Stegostoma tigrinum: one gene and its partners. The protein of the gene in region 1 purifies or fractionates together with the protein of each later gene. This does not show direct contact. Links are inferred from orthologs where the notes say so. Each region holds a gene or a part of one and is shown in the gene's direction. Other genes may lie near its edges. The genes, in order: actl6a, brd8a and SWI/SNF complex subunit SMARCC2.

Region 1 (3,749 bases):
ATGCATATACCAGAGAAAATGTGTTCTTCTTGAAACAGATGTCTTGAAGTTCACTTTAAATACAAACTATTTAGATGGCTGCAATGTCAAAGAGTTACACACACATTTGGACATAACAAGGTGTAGAGCTGGATGAACACAGCAGGCCAAGCAGCATCAGAGGAGCGGGTCTGGGCTCTTCTTCAGAAATGCCGATGCTGAAACTGCCATTCTTAAGAAAAGTGTCCAGACCTGAAATGTCAGCTTTCCTGCTCCTCTGATGCTGCTTGTCCTGCTGTGCTCATCCAGCTCTACACCTTGTTATCTCAGATTCTCCAACATTGGCAGTTCCCACTATTTCTAATAGAATTTTAGCCTTTTACTGAAGGGGGCTCTAAATACAAAGAGGAGGTAATAATTCAGTTATATAGATCTTTGAACCCTGTCTAGGACACCGCACTTAGCTTTGGGTATTGTTCAGGAAGGAAATATTGGCCTTGAAAGTAATTTGGCACAGATTCATGAGAATGATATCTTGGCAGACAGTGCTAAGTTATTAGGAGACATTCCATATACCCGTTTTCACAGAGCAGAAATGTGAGGCGTGATCTCTTTGAGGTGATTAAAACTTTGAATTTGATGGGATAGATTGAAACAATTCTTCCGTCAGCTGGGAAAGTGAAAGTATCATCTAAATGTTTGATCCAAATTTCAAGGGATGATAAGAAGTATTTTTTCACAAGATATTTGGATTTGTCACCAAAAGGCAAAGGATGTTGAGACACTTGGAGCTTACAAAGTTGAAATTGATACTTATTTTAATTAATTGGTAGATAATTAACTACAAGGATTATGGAGTGAGTGGTCGGCAGATAAAGTTAAACTATCTGACGAAGGGTCACTGGGCTTGAAATGTTAATCTCTTCACATATGCTGCCAGACTTGTTGAGTTTCTCCAGCAATTTCTGTGATTGTTTCAGAACTTCAACAATTTCAGTTCTTTATTTTACTAGAAATAAATTATAGGTCAGTTGCGATCTAAATGAATGCTGGCGCGATTTCAATGGTCTATTTTCACCCGCAAAATGAAGGTTAAATTGAGGATACTCTTCTCAAACACTTCTGCAGTATTATCTTGGGCCTACAACGAATGCCGTAAGACAACATTTCTTCTTGCAAGTAAGACTCAATTTTATTTGACTTCTGGGTAGGACGGACCTCAACATTCACACCACGAACTTTCGTGTATATTTTTCCCCTCCCGAAACAAATTTGTTAGCTGGTTCCATCTGAAAACCACTCTATTGTCCTTCCAAGCCGCTCCAGTCTATTGGTTATTGATATTTGATTGACGTAGGATGTGGGCGGGATATCTATTTCTATTGGTTGCGATGACAGTCAGCGACGTGTGTCCCCACCCTGTTCGGCTCTGGATTGGTTGGGATCGGCCATTAGTTGCTCTTTGTTGGCCCAGAGCGGGTTTTCGGTCTGGAGCCGGCGTTGGGAGGGCAGAGGCCTTCGTGGATCATAATCATAATCATCAGCGACAGTCTCTCAGCGGCTTGGAGCGGACATGAGCGGCGGGGTGTACGGTGGAGGTGAGTGAGCAACAGCGGGGCCCTGCGTACGGTGCTGTAGCCCCAGCTTGAGGGGTAGTGGCGCATGCGGGAGCGGGAAGGGCAGCGTGAGGTTGGAGGCAGTTAGGCTCGAAGACCGAGATTTCCAGGCGTTTCATCTCTGACTGCAGCGTCTGCACTTCTTGCTAGTTCATCTCGTGGACTGGCTCCCCTTTAGTCACTGCTTCATTCATTTCTCACTCACATTGCTTTGTCTTAAAAACTTCTCCTTACTTCATATAAACAGGCCCAGATGCAAAACTTTTGATTTTAGGTTGCAGACGGCAAACTCAGTCTGACCCTAGTATTGCTAGCCTTTTCTGTATTTCTGAGATGAAGGTTTAGGATTAAGGTTGGACGATATGACGAACGCGAAAGGAATGGCAAATGTTTAAAGTTGGGACTGTCTTGACAAATTAAAATTGAGTTCTTGTGCGTGTCGTATCTTGGATTTAAGTTGCGCTTAGGAAATTACATTTTAAAGGGTATGTAAACATAACAAGTTACACAATCATTGATTCTAACTAGGTCGTGCATAGTGTAGTTGTGCCAGCTTAAAAAATCTAATTGAGATTTTGTCTCATCTGAAAATAGAAGTGGGTCTTTGAGACCCTTGGGCGTGCTGTGACATTCTAGATGGTGCTGATCATCTTATCTCAATGCCATGTTGTCTCTAGAAATCTATCAGTCTTTCTCTTGACTTTAATCAATGACAAGGCTTTCACAGCCTTTGAGAGAGGTTTCCAAAGATTTGCTACCCTCTGAACAAAGATATTTCTCCTTGTCTCAGTCTTAAATGGCTTGCCTTTTGTGAGACAGTGTCTCCCGGTTCTAGTTCCCACAGCCATTGCAAACCTCTACTCTGTTCTTGTTATAAATTTTATAAGTTTCAAGAAATTGCACCTTTATTCCCCTCAACTCCAGAGAACACAAGCTCAACCTCTTGAGAGCAATCCCAACGTCGTGGGAATTGTTTGATTAAAGCTACTACTCAATGCCCTCCATTCGTGCAATCGTAGAATCCCTACAGTGTGGAAGCCGGCTGTTTGGCCCATTGAGTTCACCCTGACGTCTGAAGAGCACCCACCCCCATGCCCCCTCCCTGTAATTCTGCATTTCCCATGGCTAATCCAGTTAGCCTACTCATTCCTGGACACTATGGATGATGTAGCATGGCCAATCCACCTAATGTTCACATGCTTGCACTGTGGGAGGAAACCCTTGCAGACGGTGGGAGAATTTGCAGGCTTCACACAGATAGTCGTCTAAGGCTAGAATTGAAGCTGGGTCCCTGGCACTGAGGCAGCAGTGCTAACCATTGAGCTGCCCCATTATCATAGACAATGAATTTATTTCTTTTGATTGAAAAGTTATTTTTTACTGTATTAATGCATTTTAATTGATTTCTCAGTCACAATATTTCTTGCCATCAGTTCCATTCAGTTTGTTTCTAATGCTGCTTTTTAAATAAGTGGAGAGCATGAAAGACCATTCCAAGAATTGTTATTTCATCTACCTCCGTATCCGGAAACTGCTTTTGGGGCTGCAGCTTATTCTTCAGAGAATCACAGATGCCATTTCTTGTTTTTCAATTCTGTGTCATAGCATTGCTGTCAGAGGAGGAACAAAAAGCATCATAAACATGTTTGAATTTGGCTGTTTTAACTATAAGGTGGATTCAGGTAGATAATGCAGTTGATGTGTGGCCTACAAGCAAGCCTTTTGGCAACATCTGAAATCGCAGGCTGAGTAAACAAAATAAATGCCAGTGGCATCTAGTGGAATGTAACCAATTGGATGCAAAATTTGCTCACAGGCAGGAAATGAAGGGTAATAGTTGCACAATTACCTGTCAACAGGAAGACTGTTATAGGCATTCTTCTAGGCTCAATATAATGCCCCTGATTTTTTGAGTATGTGTACTTAAATGATTTGAATGTAAATGTAGGAAACATGATCAAAAATTTGTGACGAGACAACAATTGTGGTTGATCACAAGGAGGATACCTAGACTGCAGAAAGATGTCAGTGGACCCCATTGCCTTTTAGCCCAGTTGGGTAGAAAAGTAGCAAATAGTATTCAACGTAGAGAAGTGTGAGATGATACATTTTTAGGAGGTCAAGCAAAGCAAAAGATAGCCATTGGGCGAATGT
Region 2 (3,749 bases), on another chromosome or scaffold:
GAGTAAACTATTGTGTTTAATCAGAAGTCGAGGTGCTATTCCTCAAGCTTGAACGGAGGTGACGTAGCAATGTATCAGTGGCATATGGTGGTCTTGGTCTGGCGTACCTGAGCATAGATTCCTGGTATCAGGTGATTCCAGGGCAATGTCCCACTCTCCAGCAACTCAAGGTGAAGCCCAATGCAGACTGGACACTCAGTGCTAGGATAATCTGGGCTGGAAGGTTGTTGTTCTGCACTTCCATTTGCACAATGCTGGACTTTGAATTTCTCTATTTTTCTAAGATCTGGTAACTGAAGAAGCTGTACTGAGGTACCTTTTGTACCTAGGATGGTGCTGTAAATAGTGACTTATGAACTTTTCCCTACTCATTTGAGCATTTGACAATGAAGCTTATTTTATTCTGTTCTATGTGGGGTGTTGCAGTGGCCCTACCTCTGATTGAGGAGCCTTGCTTTGAGTCCCCTCTGTCTCAACACCTTTGAATAGGTTGATGAGAAAATATCTGCAGAGACCAACACTGAAACTCTGCAGCAAGGTGACGGTGACAATGACACCACCCAGAAAATGGAGGAGCAGCACTTTATATTCAGCGATAACAAAGTGTGGAGCTGGATGAACACAGCAGGCCAAGCAGCATCTCAGGAGCACAAAAGCTGACGTTTCGGCCCTAGACCCTTCATCTGATGAAGTCTGGGTCTTTGGGGGGGGGGCAGCGGGGAGAGAAGGTTGTGTTGCTGGTGTCTGGGTCTTTTGGTTGGGGGGGGAGAAGGTTGTGTTGCTGGTGTCTGGGTCTTTTGGTTGGGGGGGGAGAAGGTTGTGTTGCTGGTGTCTGGGTCTTTGGTTGGGGGGGTGAAGGTGGTGATGCTGGTGTCTGGGACTTTGCGGGGGGGGGGGGTGGGCAGAGAAGGTTGTGTTGCTGCTGTCTGGGTTTCTGGAGGGGGGGGTGGGGAGAGAAGGTTTTGTTGCTGGTGTCTGGGTTTCTGGGGGGGGGGGTGGGGAGAGAAGGTTTTGTTGCTGGTGTCTGGGTTTCTGGGGGGGGGGTGGGGAGAGAAGGTTGTGTTGCTGGTGTCTGGGTCTTTGGTTGGTGGGGGGGTGAGAGAAGGTTGTGTTGCTGGTGTCTGGGTCTTTGGTTGGTGGGGGGGTGAGAGAAGGTTGTGTTGCTGGTGTCTGGGTCTTTGGTTGGTGGGGGGGTGAGAGAAGTTTGTGTTGCTGGTGTCTGGGTCTTTGGTCGGGGGGGAGGGGGGAGAAGGTTGTGAGGAAGAAGGTTCCCTGCTCTTCGCTCACCGGGGTCCGGCGTTGTTGCCTGGTTACAGCGCAGCCAATGGGTGCTCTGCATGTGACATCAGAAGCCTTGACCTTTCACCCTTGTTTATTTTATTTTAGCAGTGGAGGAGAAAACACCGATAATGTCCTCAAATTCAACATTCAGTAATAATGTTAATAATCAGCGGTCGCGTTTCTATAAAATCTCGTGGGATAGTGATGGTTTAATCTTTTCTCCGGGCGGGGTTAGAGGTCAATGCGCGCGGTGGTTAATGGGACGATGGCGGCTAGTAGTGGCAGTGAGTAACCTGGCGACGTGGAGAGAGTGGGAATGGGAGAGACGGAGAAGTGGAGGGGAAAAAAGGGAGGTGGGAATAGAGTGGAAAGGTGTGAGTAGAGAAAGTGGGGAACGGGAACAGGGAGGAGGAGGAAAAGGAAAGTGAGAGTGAGAAAGAATGGGGACGAGGGCTATGGGTAGAATAGCGGAGAGAGCGAGGAATGAATGGAGACGGAGTGAGAGGTTGGTGGTAGGGGCTTCGTGGATGTTAGAGTGGCTCATTGGCGGGATGAGGAGGAGAAGCTTTCAATTTAGGAGTCCGAATATGAAAGAACTGTCAACGTGGGCAGTGTGGAGCAGTCTTGAGTTCTTGGCTTGCCTTCCCTTCCGCAATGTTAAACACCTGAAGCTTTTATAATGTTATTAGAAAATGCTGAAAATATTTAGTAGCTTGATCTGAAATGTTGACTCTGTCTGCATAGATGTTGCTAGCTGCCCCGAGCCTTTATAAAAACCGAAAGAACTGCGGATGCTGTAAATCAGGAGCAAAAACAGAAGTTGCTGGAAAAGCTCAGAAGGAGAAAACCAGAGTTAACCTTTCTGGCTCGGTGACCCTTCCTCAGAACTGAGCTGCCGGACCTGCTGAGCTTTTCCAGCAATTTTGTTTTTACAGCTAGGAAAATGTTGGTTTGTATGCAGAGGATAGGGTGGGGAGAGGTGTAAGGAGTAAATCATAAGTTGGGATAGAGCCCAAAGAAAGGAAAGTGCATTTGGATGGACAAAACTGTTCTTCCAGTTTGCTCTGAACTTTACTGGAACCCTGCAGCAAGTCTAACACAGTGATGTTGGCCAGTGAACAGGGTGGTGCGTTAATGTGGCAGGCAACTGGAAGCTCAGGGTCTTTTTGTTTTGTTTTGTGTGGGCAGAACGTAGATGTCCTACGAGTGTGGGTGTCTGAGACACCTTTGTCCACTCCCCCTTCACTAACACCCCTCCTATAGTTCTGTGGTACCTTGCCCTGCAACTGCAGATGATGTAACACTTGCCCGCCCACCTCCCTCCCTACTCTCCAAGTGCTCAAATATACCTTCCAGGTGGAGCAGCACCATACTTATAGATAGACCCTTGCTCTGTGACTAAAATACACTTAGCCTAGGACTTACTACTGTGTAGAAAATAACTGGAGGAATTACTGTTGTTGGGACACCCAGATTAGCCCAACAGTGTCTCTGGAAAGAGAATCCAAAAAGTTAACCTTTAAAACTAACTCTAACCTTCTGAACATTTCAAGCATATTCTTCTTTTATTTCCAATTAAAGCTTCCATAGCTTTTTGCCTCAGTTTTTTACATGTAAAAAACTAAGGTTGTACCAACTGTGGCCAAACAGTGATTCAGGTGGTTAAAGAGCACAGGCAAACTGGAAATCATGGCCTGGATGTTCCAATGCCAAATGGTGAATTTTAAGATGTTTGTTGCTGTTGTGTCAGGGTACTTCAGAAGCTCTGAATACCTCATTTCTGCAGTATTTGCTCAGCAAGTTAAAACCTCCATTGGCCAGGTATGAAATGCCAGGGCCTCTCTGAAAATGTTGACCTCTGTTAATTTCTGGTGGAGATTAGTGTTAATCAGTGGACCCCATCCCACAGCCTCCACATGCAGTCACCTTCATGAGCAACTTTAATTTTTCTGTGATAATGGGAACCGCAGATGCTGGAGAATCCAAGATAACTTTTCTGTAACGGTCTGGTGCCACTTCGTGGCTTGCTAGTTAACAATGTTGAATTACCCCATATAGGTTAAGTTCTTCCTTAACTGCCATTACAGAACCTGGTCACTTTTTTTATGGTGAGCCCAGTGATCACTTATACTGATACCAGTCCCTGTATTAAAGCAAAGTAAAGGTCCTGCAAATTATGGTGAAACTGAAAAGGAGGCCTGTTTCATGTTTGTTTCATTATTCAGTGGAGAAATAAAATGAATTTTAAAAAATGCAGGGCATAAATGAAAAGGGTGATAAATAGAATGAATGGAAATAGAATAATTGCAAATGTGCAAGTCTTTTGATAAGCATGAACAGCAGGAGATAGATGAAGGGTAGTATCTAAAAGGATAACTGAATACTGTTGGTAATCTTGCATTTCTCTTCAAGGAATGCCATTGTCACAGCAAAGGAGTAGATAATAGACAAGTGGATGAAATAAAAGC
Region 3 (3,749 bases), on another chromosome or scaffold:
ACCAGCCCAGCTTTTCCCCTCCACCCACTGCATCCCAAAACCAGTCCAACCTGTCTCTGCCTCCCTAACCTGTTCTTCCTCTCACCCATCCCTTCCTCCCACCCCAAGCCGCACCTCCATTTCCTACCTACTAACCTCATCCCACCTCCTTGACCTGTCCGTCTTCCCTGGACTGACCTATCCCCTCCCTACTTCCCCACCTATACTGTCCTCTCCACCTATCTTCTTTTCTCTCCATCTTCGGTCCACCTCCCCCTCTCTCCCTATTTATTCCAGTTCCCTCCCCCCATCCCCCTCTCTGATGAAGGGTCTAGGCCCGAAATGTCAGCTTTTGTGCTCCTGAGATGCTGCTGGGCCTGCTGTGTTCATCCAGCCTCACATTTTATTACCACAAAACAAACAGTTGGGCTTGGAGTCCATAAACCACTGTAATTGGTGATTGCACTGGTCTACTGCGTGCAACACCCTCCACCCCAGCTCCCCAATGGGAAAAGAGAGAGGACTCCTACATAGGGAGCATTGGGGATCTCTATCACCTGGTGGTAAATGGGTATGTCAAGACATATCCCGACAGGACGGTGGTGCTCAGAGATAATGGGAACTGCAGATGCTGGTGAATTCAAGATAATAAAGTGTGAAGCTGGATGAACACAGCAGGCCAAGCAGCATCTCAGGAGCAAAAAGCTGACGTTTCGGCCATCAGAAAAGGTGGTGCTGTCTGCTCCTGCAGGCGCACCTCTGGCCAGGCGGTGGTGCTGTCTGCTGCTTCTTTGCTCCTATCTTCTCTCAGTGAATTTGTGGTTGAAAATGGCGGTGCGGAAGAAGGACGGAGGCCCGAATGTGAAATATTTCGAGGCCTCAGATACGGTGTCGCAGTTTGATAATGTGCGCCTGTGGCTAGGGAAGAATTATAAAAAGGTGAGAGATGCCAGTGGAGTGGATCGGAAAGGGTGAGGATGCAATTGTTTGTTGGGCCCTGGACTGTATCCTGATGGCGGGTGGAAGTTCGGCTTTCCCTGTCCTTGACATCGGCCTCGGAGCTTCCTGTCGGGTTGCCCAGCCGATGGTCGTAAGTCTCCGTCTGCGGAACGGAGAAAGTCGGAAGTGGAGGACGCCGAATTGCAGGCAGCCCGGTCTGCTTCCATTCCTCGCCTCATGCTCAGAAACTCCAGATCAATTCTCCTTCCCATCTCTCCCTATAACTACTTAAAAGCTGCTTTCGTCATTTCAAAAATATCTGCCCCGTCTGAAACCTTTCCCTCTCAAAAAATTCAATCCTACTTCAAAACCAACTTCGCCTTAAATCTTCAACGACACTTTAAAATGTCCAATCCCCTTAAAAAAACCTTCATCCCGAAGACGCCTCCTGCTCCCTTAAATTAATCCCCTTTGAAGCTTTCTAAAAATCCCTTCTTCCATGAAATCCCCAATTCCCCCGCCGTAAGCCTCCTCCCCTTGCGAACACCTTTTACCACCCCATGAACTCGCTATCTCCATAAACGCCCTTCACTCCCTCACTTCACCACACCCCATTCCTTTAAAAAGCTTCGTTCTCCTTCAAACCTCAATTCCCCCTTTTTAAAAAAAACGTTTCTTCCTAGAACCCCCTTCCATTCCCAAAACCCCAAGAAGTCCCTTTTTCTTAAAAAAACAATCTCCCGCTTTAAAAAGTAGCTTGCCCCTTGAAACCAATCCCTATTTAAAACCAAGTCTCACTTAAAATCCCGGCCGCTGAGAAATGCAGTCTTTCTTACGACACAAAAGCTCCTTTACTACATAAATCAAATCCTCCTGAACACGTTCCCCTCCGCCATTTAAAAGCTAGTTGAGATGCTTGAAAACCAAAATCTTCCCCTCACTCCCCTGCGTCAACACTTCTGGCTGAAGGTTTTTGTAAATGCTTCTGCCTTATCCTTTGCACTGATGTACTGGGCTCCACCATCGTTGAGAATGAGCATGTTTGTGGTGATGCCTCCTTCAGTGAATAGTTTAATTGTCCAATACAATGAATGCTTACATGTGGTAGGACTGCAGATCTGGATCTGATCTGTTGGTTGTGGAATCATGGATAGATATGTCTGCAACAGGCAGGTCGGTGAGGATGAGGTCAAGAATGGTTTTCCCTCGTCAGTTCCCTCACCACCTGACGTAGACCCAGTCTAGCAGCCATGTCCTTTAGGGCTTGATCAATCTTAGTTGTGGACATTAAAATCCCTCATCCAAAGTACATTCTGCGCACTTGCTGCTCTCAGCTTTTCTCCATACGATGTTGAACTGCACTGATTCATCAGTGGATAGAAGATGCTGTCTGGTAATCAGTTTCAGGTTTTAATTGCCCATTTTTGACATGATGCCGTAAGACTTCATGAGGGCAACTCCCTTCCGACTGCCACTGTGCAGCCACCTCTGCTGGGTCTGTTGTGCTTGTGGGACAGGACATATCCAGGGATGGTAATGGTGGTGACTGGGAATTTTTCTGTCAGGTATGATTCCATGAGTATGACTATGTCAGGCTGTTGTTTGACTGGTCTATGAGATAACTGTCCCAATCTTGGCACTGGCCCCCAGATGTTAGTAAGGAGGACTTTTGTCTGGCTAACAGGGCTGTTTTTTTCCATTGCAATTTCAGGTGCCTAGGTCAGTGCCAAGTGGTCTGTCTGTTTTCATTCCTTTATTTTGCTTTCTTGTGGTTGATACAAATGAGTATCTTGCTAATCCATTTTAGAGGGCACCAAAGTGTCAGCCACGTTGCTGTGGGCCTGGAGTCACGTGTAGACTTCCTTCCCTAAAGGATATTAGTGAACCAGATCGGTTTATCTGACAATCAATAATATTTTCATGGCTATCATTAGATTCTTAATTCCAGACTTTTATTGAACTTAAATTCTACTGTCTCCCATGGCCAGGTTCAAACCAGGATACCTAGATCATAAAGACAGATTGCTAGAAAATCTCAGCAGGTCCAGCAGCATCTGTGGAGAGAAAGCAGAGTTAACGTTTAGAGTCCAGAGACCTTTGTTCAGTTCTGAGTTTTTCCTTGCCATGTCTGGTTTTGGTTTCTGATTTCTAGCATCTGCAGTTCTTTGTTTTGTCTTACCCAGAACATTTTCTGGATCTCTGAATCAATAGTCTCGCAACATCCCTAGTCCATTGACTGCCCTAATAAGCTTAAAAAAGGCCTTTGGATTTTCATTAATGTTACCCATCAAAGTTTTTTCATGTCCTCCCTTCATACTCAATTTCATTCATAAGCAGAGATAATGGGAACTGCAGATGCTGAAGAATCCAAGATAACAAAGTGTGAAGCTGGATGAACACAGCAGGCCAAGCAGCATCTCAGGAGCAAAAAGCTGACGTTTCGAGTCTAGACCTTCATCAGAGATGAAGGGTCTAGGCCGGAAATGTCAGCTTTTGTGCTCTTGAGATGCTGCTTGGCCTACTGTGTTCATCCAGCTTCACACTTGGTTTTCTTTGTTCATAAGCAACCCCCAGCACTTCCTATGTTCCTCTAAGGTATCTACAGTTTTGAGCCTTTGGTGTCTCCTATTATCTTCCTTTTTGCCCCTTATCCAATCCTGCATTTCCCTTGACATCTTGGTATGTTGGTTCCACCTTTCCCTTTAGAGGAACATGTTGGCCCAGCACTCTCTCTATTGTCCTTTTGAATGTCTCCCACTGCTCTGGTGTGGCTTTTCCTGCAAGTTGCTGCTCTCAGTTTACCTTGGCCAGATCCTGTCCTATTTTTTAAA

What was found.
Region 2: the proteins of actl6a (region 1) and brd8a fractionate together in Homo sapiens (co-fractionation; 4 studies listed by BioGRID and IntAct, with this or other methods). This does not show direct contact. The link is inferred for Stegostoma tigrinum from reciprocal best matches to the Homo sapiens genes ACTL6A and BRD8.
Region 3: the proteins of actl6a (region 1) and SWI/SNF complex subunit SMARCC2 purify together in Homo sapiens (affinity purification with mass spectrometry; 8 studies listed by BioGRID and IntAct, counting the BioPlex papers as one, with this or other methods). This does not show direct contact. The link is inferred for Stegostoma tigrinum from reciprocal best matches to the Homo sapiens genes ACTL6A and SMARCC2.

Annotation. Positions count from the first base shown.
Region 1 is NC_081367.1:36,938,989-36,942,737, forward strand, and holds the start of actl6a (actin-like protein 6A), read left to right. Parts: upstream 1-1,412; 5' UTR 1,413-1,552; coding exon 1,553-1,577; intron 1,578-3,749.
Region 2 is NC_081376.1:48,891,102-48,894,850, reverse strand, and holds the start of brd8a (bromodomain-containing protein 8), read left to right. Parts: upstream 1-1,540; 5' UTR 1,541-1,546; coding exon 1,547-1,565; intron 1,566-3,749. UniProt on the Homo sapiens protein: May act as a coactivator during transcriptional activation by hormone-activated nuclear receptors (NR). Isoform 2 stimulates transcriptional activation by AR/DHTR, ESR1/NR3A1, RXRA/NR2B1 and THRB/ERBA2.
Region 3 is NC_081404.1:1,311,575-1,315,323, forward strand, and holds the start of SWI/SNF complex subunit SMARCC2, read left to right. Parts: upstream 1-781; 5' UTR 782-807; coding exon 808-918; intron 919-3,749. UniProt on the Homo sapiens protein: Involved in transcriptional activation and repression of select genes by chromatin remodeling (alteration of DNA-nucleosome topology).